Drosophila melanogaster: one gene and its partner. The protein of the gene in region 2 interacts with the protein of the main gene of each other region in a pairwise test. Each region holds a gene or a part of one and is shown on either strand. Other genes may lie near its edges.

Region 1 (3,926 bases), 7.6 Mb from region 2:
TATGTCAAATCCGCATCATCACAATGCTCCCGTTTATTGCAGTTATGCACTGATTTACTAACATTATACATGATATTTATAAATATATAAATTAACGTATGCATAACTAACAATGACTTAGACGACGAACACACTAAGAAACCAATATTAAATATAAAACTAAAGTAAACGAAGTGAACATTTTATAAATGGATTGAAGTAATCCAAGTAATTCACGAGACTAGCAAAGTAAATGAATAAAAGTCAAGTATGTGCGTCTGCGGACAACTAGTATAATACATAAAAAAATTATTAAAATTAATTTATATTTATCGAACCGAATTAAAAACGCAACTCGAATGAAGACAGCAATAAATACATAACAGTACACAATCTCCGAAACACGATTACCCGCTAAACGAATCGGTTATGAAGCGGTAATTTCGAACGTTTGCGATTATATTCAAGCCATATTGTTATGCACTTGCTGCATAAATAACCCAGTTGAGAAGAAATAAGAATTAACGAAAATGAAATGTTGAACATACAAATTTAGCAGTTAAAAATAAATAACAAATGAAAATATAAATAAATAAATAAATATATAAAGTAAAGAACAATTTAAAATCGGTTTTCTTTTAATTTGATTTTTTTTGTTTAGGTATATAGTGCTACTATTATAATTCTTTTAAATGGCAATTAACAATTATGACATTTCATAGATTTTATTCCTATTTAAAACTTCATATATTAGTTTATTACAGTCTAGACAAACAATGATTTGTACAACTCGGACTTGGAGGCATCCGTCCAGTCGCTACTCTCATTGGGCGCCATGAAGTTGATGAGCTTGTTGTGCACCACGTATCTGAAAGTATATTTAAATGTTCGTGAGTAAATCTTGCAGATATATTACTCTGCTTCACGTACCGCAGCTTTCGCCCCTTGCTGGCCCTGGTGTCCACCTTCTTCTTCATCTTCTGGCGCAGCTTCTGTAGCTCCACGAACTGCTTGGTAATCTCGCTCATGTTGGACGAGGTGCTGGCCTTGTACTCGATGAGCTCCCGCAGCTGCTGGTGGTAGAAATCGCTGTCGTCGTAGATGTGCTTCAATCGCTGCACGGGCGTGTTTTCCTGCTGCTCCGCCTGGCTGTTCTTTGGGGTCTGGGACTTTTCCACGAGCGCCTCTCGGTTCGCCAGGGCGCTGCCGATCTTTTTGATGATGTCGTAGTCCTCCTGCAAGGACTTGCGTTTGACACCCGCTCCGGGGGTCAGGAGTTTCGTACGGTCGTCCCACTTTAACAGAACTTCATTGCGATACCCAATCATTTGTTGGAAATTGCTCTGCAGCACAGAACCAAACTTTTTGACCGCCGGACCCGAATCCTCTGTGGGCTGCTTGCGCTTCACCGACTTTTTCATCTCGGAGTATTGCTGGTGGAGAGCTGACTGGAGGGAGAGCAGTTGCTGCAGTAGCTTGGATGAACGCTCCTGGGCCTCGTTAAGCACCGACTGAAGCTCATCGCTTTCCGATGCCAGTTTCGTTAGAGTTTCCGGTGCAGGAAGCTGATTCGCTTTGCTGGTGAACTTTTGGGTGTTGATCCTTAGCTCGAGAAGACGCTCCCAGATGCGCAGCTGGTTTTGGACGGCAAGTCCTTTTTGGATTTCAGCTTGATGGTTGGTTTTGGACATTACATCCGAGGGTTTGATTGCGTCGTCTTCTGCTTCATCATCTTCTGAATCGTCGTCATCTCCTTCACTTTCCTGGCTATGGTCTTCTTCCTCAGAGTCATCATCCTCCTCCTCATCATCATCATACTTAAAATCTCCAGCCTCAAACTTTTTTTTAAAGTCTGTCAAATTGCTCTCAATCTCCTCACTTTCTTCACCAGATTCGGAATGTCCAGCAGCCGTTTCCTCCTCGGAGTCTTCAGCTCCTCCAGCATTTAACTTCTGCTTAAAGTTTGTCAAGTTCTCATCATCCTCATCGCTTTCTTCGTAGGACACCTCTTGTTCATCATCCTTATCCTCATCGTCATCCAACTCCTTGCGACTGCTGATCTTTCCTTTGTAGCGGTCACTCTGCTCCGAGAGCAGCTTGACGTTCCTCTTCCTAAAGTCGGTGCTCCGGGCATCCGGCAGGTCGTACTCCTCCTCCTCGAAGTCCACCAGACGTGGCCCTGTGGCCACATCGAAGTCCGAGTCCTCTGCGCTGTCGCTCTCGTTCGGATGGGCAAGCAGCTTGCTGACCTTCTCGGCCACCGTCTGTGGCTGTTTCTTTGACTTGCGCAGCATACTGCTAGAGTTTCATTTATAATTTCAAAACGAAAGACCTAGTTTACCACATGGACTGATTGCTAGAGGTGGATGAACATCGATGCACATTTCGATGATATCGATATTTTCACACTTCTTTTAAGCGGAGCAGTGTGACCGCTTACGCAAAGTTTGGTCGAATGCGGTAAAATCAAAAATTTAAAAATTTAAATGACTTCATTTTAAAATTGAATTTCCCCAAAAATTGTTAATTACAAAACGGTGTTAATTTGTTCCTAACACCACAATTATCCAACACCATGTTTATTGAATTTTAGAAAACTTTTTAAAACTTCAATATAGATTTTGTTTTTTAATTCGGCATTCCCAAACTTGTGTAAATGAACTCTCATATATACCCTGAAATATCAAGAATCCTAATGTGCTATAAGTGCTATAAATTCAAAAAAAGTTTTGTATTCAATCATACAAATATAAATAAAGGATGAAAAATGGGTGGAAACCTTACAGATATTAAGTCACTGCATACTTTTGGGCATTTGATTTAAGCCGCGTTGAGTGCAAGCGCAAATACGAAATTAAACGGCGCCCTTGAATGTGCCGTTTATTTCAGTTAGTGCACATTCTGCACGACCACTCATTAGAGCCGCCCCACCGTCGTCTTATCAGGTGCGCCAGGTGCATCTTGATAAGGCCGCGCTCACGCCACTTTCGTAGCATACAAATGTGCGCCGCGGAACGTGAACTTGAAATCCTTTTGTCCGCCCCGGCACGCTCATTAAATTTAATGAATCGTTTTGTCCAATTGCGTATCGTCCGGCCGGCATGAGGTTAAATTGTGAACCTTGGCAGTGGACTTGGCAGATGCCAGTGAAAACTCGACGGGATCAGAGGTGCGAAATCCGAAACAAAAAGGACATACGAGTGGGATACAGAGAGCAAAGTTTTGGGAAAGGAGGAAAGCTCGGAACGAGGCCTATAAGAAGATTCATGTAGATCACTTGTGCCGGCTGAGACGCGACTCATGCGGCAGATAAGGAATCGAAACATTTGGCGATCAGACGGACCACCGTTTGAACTTTGAGTCGTGTACACGCATTGATAATCGTGAAATTTATGCGGGCGGGACCTGAAAACACACACACACATGTGAAGTGTATTGGGGTCGTCCGCTGTTATCAATGTACCTAACATTGTATACCTGCTACTTGAAATTAGGGGTATACCAATATCGTGAGTCGTTTTGTAACACTGACGAAGGAAGTACCTTAAACTGGAATCTTACAGATTAAGAGGGCTCAGAGCTAAAGATAAATTCTACTTTTCCTATCCTTTGAGCAGCTATAAGAGTCATAGAAACGCATTCAGGTGTATAGTCCTTGTCCAAAAAGTAGGCTACGATTTCTACAGGAGGCCGAGGACCAGGTATTTGAATGGTCGGGAGTGCAAAAGCTTCCACTTGTCGCGCTCATCTTCCAGCTGTGTTATCAGTGGCTGCCGAGATCTCGAGTACGAGGCATCAGCATCCCAGGCAGGCAATCGGTTCAGTCAGTTCCTGCTCGTCGATCGGTGTGAGTGTGGATCTGGAGTACCGTTAGTCGTAGTCGTGTGTGCCGTTAAGAAGCTCTCGCATCGTCGATAGCGATAACTACGCGCGTGGGCGGTGGGCAG
Region 2 (3,926 bases):
ATTATTAAGAGCAGTACGCGCGAAGTTATTCATCAAGTTAGTTTGTATTTAGGGTAATCATCCTGCCTTACTTCATATGAATGAATTTCATACAAAAGAATGTGACTTAGCAGCATATAGTGTGAAAAGATGAGTATCAATTATGGATTCTTAATTGCTCATACTTAAATCATCAAATACAGTTATAATCGCTTATCATTGCTTGTCAAAGTGACAAGTGCATATCAGTTTAATAGGCTCTATGACGGGCAGTTTAGACTAACTAAGTAGTAGGTCTCGGTCTCGAGTCTTATCAGTCAAGCGCCAAAGGCCAAACATCAGTGGAGCAATCAATGGAGGCGAAGTACATATGTACTTATTTGCAAAATGTGTTGAATGGAAGTGGATCATCATTGCCCCTCATAAAAGGAACACAGCGGCGCACCCATAACAGGGAAAATAACGAAAGGAGTATGAGAAATATATATTTATACACAGACGAAGTATGTATACCCTTTGGCAAAAAATCTTAAATATAAATATACTTTTATAAATGTGCGCTTTATATTCCATTTCTAAGATATAACTGAATACGATTTGATATTTGAGTATCTACAAATAAGCGCACATCCATTCAAACTAATAAAATAAGCCCGCATTGAAGACAACAACGCAATAAGACACAACAAAATGAAAAAGAAATATATTAATAACTGATAACAACTACTAAGAAAACTTCTGATTTATTATAATTTTTTATTCATGCTCGCCTACATTTTGAAAAAACCTTGTTTGCATAATTCATATAATAAATTAATATATAAGCACAGGTAAATATTTCTATGATAACTCATACACTCATATAATAATCCATCTTATAAAAACTAATTTAGAGTATTTATTTATAGCGTATACTAAACAAACTCCTCACCTACCGATTTTTAAGTAGAGTGGCGGCCGTTTTTGCCCCACCATCCCCTAAAAATTCAAAAAATAAATTATACACCATAAAAACCTGAAACATCCCCAGAATTAATCGATTTTTGTAAATCATATTTATTTTCTTAACTTGGTCACAAAACAGTAACTCCCCATTGCAGGGTATCAAAGCAATCAGGGGGTGTATACAACAACAATGGAGTGCTGCTGCCTAACGACAAAAACAAGAGAGAGCGAGAGCACAAGGGAAAGTTGCGGAGCACCCACAGCTGCACTGCGTCACCCCTTCGCAGACGGTTTTCCATTTCGCATAATTTAATCAGTGTTTAATTGGCTTAAGGAAAAACAACGAATATTACTCACCGTTTTAGATCACTTTAGTTTTAGTCCACCTTAGGGAGCGAACGGAATGTGTAACGTAGGGCGGTTACGCAGAGCGGGGGGTACTGTGTGTATGTGTGCGTATTGTTGTTTGGCTGTGCGGAATTCGATTGCAATTTTTGGGCAATTTGGCGATGCAAAATGCAGTTCACTTTCGTGCTAGCACGCACACTGGCTTCGCGGGGTTGCGGGGCTGCACCGAGAGGCAATTATTGCGATTATTTTCAATTGGTAGGTCGATGCAAATCAGTAGTCTTTTTTCACTGCTTTTGCGTTCTCTTGTTTTGCTTGGTTTCCTGCGGTCACACTGAGCAATTGGCAAGCCAAGGGTCACACTGCCGCGATAGGTGCTTATCGCAGCCAGATGCTATCGACAATCGTGTCTATCGATAGAGGGCGCACGTGTTGCGGACTTCGTTTGTTTATGTTTTAATTTTGAGCAAAAATCGTCCCTCAAGATGTTCGTAAACGAAGTTAACGATGTGAAGATCTACAACCTGAGCGCCGGCAAGTCGGTGCCAGATGTGAGTAGCAAGATAAACCCGTTGCCAAGCAGTTAACTCATGAGTATCTCCTTCACAGTGGCTGACGGATCGGCGAAAGCGGTCACAGCTCATGAAAAAAGTGGACTCCCGGAGACAGATCGAGCTCATCCAGGACTTCGATATGCCCGGCGTCTGCACCAGCATCCGCATGAGTCCCGACCAACAGTACATCCTGGCCACCGGCACTTACAAGCCGCGCGTCAAGTGCTTCGAGGTGTCCAACCTGTCTATCAAATTCGAGCGCTGCTTCGACGCCGAGGTGACCACCTTTGAGGTGATTAGCGACGACTACAGCAAGATGGTGTTCCTGCAATGCGATCGCTATGTGGAGATCCATGCGGCCCACGGGCGGCACTACAGACTAAGGATACCGCGCTTTGGACGCGACATGAAGTACCACAAGCCCAGCTGCGACATGTTCATCGTGGGAGTGGGCAGGGTAAGAACTGAGGTCTATCTAATGTCTAGTTTATTCTAAAGATTTGATTTCAGGACATTTTCCGACTCAATTTGGAGCGCGGTCAGTTCCTGCAACCCTTTGAAACGGATGGCAGCTGCCTGAACGCCTGTGAAGTGAATCCAGAGCACCATCTTCTGGTAGCCGGTACCAAAGAAGGCACCGTAGAAGCCTGGGATCCACGTACCAAGCAACGATGTTCAACTTTGGATGTAGCCATGAAGTTGCCGGGCGTCAAGGAGTTTCCATCGGTCACGGCCCTCAAATTCCGGAACGGCTTGCACATGGGAGTGGGAACTGCTTCGGGACACGTGCTGATCTACGACATTCGCGCCAAGCAACCGTTGCTGGTGAAGAATCATCTGAATCGACTGCCCATCAAGCGTCTGGCCTTTAATCCGGCTCAGAATGCCGTCTATAGTTTGGACGAGGCTACACTGAAGCTGTGGGACGAGCAGACAGGCAAGCAGATCGCCTACGTTGAGTCGACTTCGTCATTCAACGATTTTTGCACCATTCCCGACACGGGCATGTTCTTCGTAGCCCAGGAGGATGTTAAGATGATGACCTATTATGTGCCTGCAATGGGTCCAGCACCCCGATGGTGCTCGTTCTTGGATAACCTCACCGAGGAGATCGAATCGGAGGTCGTGGAGAATGTGTACGATGACTATCAGTTCGTCACAGCGAAGGAGCTGGCTGAATTGGGAATGGAGCATCTCGTTGGCAGCAATCTTCTTAAGGGTTATATGCACGGGTAAGTTTGAAAAAGATTGGAAGAGGTAAAGATCTTGTCTAATACCTAAAAATTCTACAGATACTTTATGGACGCAAGATTGTACAACAAAGCCAAGGCAGTTGTGGAACCCTTCGCCTTCGACCGCTTCCGCAAAGATAAGATCCGCCAAGAAATCGAAAGTGAGCGCAAGTCCCGCCTGCAAATCGAATCCAAGCTGCCCAAAGTCAACAAAGAGTTGGCTCTCAAGATTATGGACGAGCAAGCCAATCCTTCCAACAGTGCCAAGCAGCGAAATGTGCCCAGCCTGCTGGAGGACTCGCGTTTCAAGGCCATGTTTGAGAATGCCGACTTTGAAGTTAACAAGTCTGCCGAGGAGTATCGTCTGCTGGCTCCTGTTCTGAACCGTCTGGATAAATCCAAGGCCAAGGAACTCAAGAAGCGCGTGGAGGTGGCTCATGTGGCGGAGTTGCACGCGGACGAGGCACAGCAGCGCGAGGAAAGCGATAATGACGAGGACCTATTTGGCTTCGAGAAGAGCGATGGCGAAACGAAGGATGACAGCGGAGATGAGGCCTCATCTGACGATGATGACCGAAGGGAGTATGTCAAGGAAATGAAGCAGGCGTACAAACAGGTGAAGCGACAACGTGAGGAAGAGGAGGAGCTAGAAGATGACGAGCAGCAGCCGGATGAAATTTCGGATACCGCAAAAAGACCGCAGACGAATGGACACAGCCAACAACCCACCACCAATGGCAACCGTTTCACCATGACCCCCTTGGATCAACATCAAGGCAGCAGTCTACTGCAGCAGCGCATCAAAAAAGCGAGCTTGCAGGATCGCGTAAGGGTCATGTCCCAGCTGGAGGGCCAGGTCACCAATGTG

Evidence for each region.
Region 1: the proteins of l(2)34Fd (region 2) and Aatf interact in a two-hybrid assay, tested with the Drosophila melanogaster proteins (one large-scale study listed by BioGRID).

The regions. Positions count from the first base shown.
Region 1 is NT_033779.5:6,716,058-6,719,983, reverse strand, and holds Aatf (apoptosis antagonizing transcription factor), read right to left. Parts: upstream 2,360-3,926; 5' UTR 2,274-2,359; coding exon 910-2,273; intron 848-909; coding exon 745-847; 3' UTR 595-744; downstream 1-594. UniProt on the Drosophila melanogaster protein: May function as a general inhibitor of the histone deacetylase HDAC1.
Region 2 is NT_033779.5:14,352,829-14,356,754, reverse strand, and holds the start of l(2)34Fd (lethal (2) 34Fd), read left to right. Parts: upstream 1-1,669; 5' UTR 1,670-1,757; coding exon 1,758-1,823; intron 1,824-1,881; coding exon 1,882-2,283; intron 2,284-2,336; coding exon 2,337-3,058; intron 3,059-3,118; coding exon 3,119-3,926.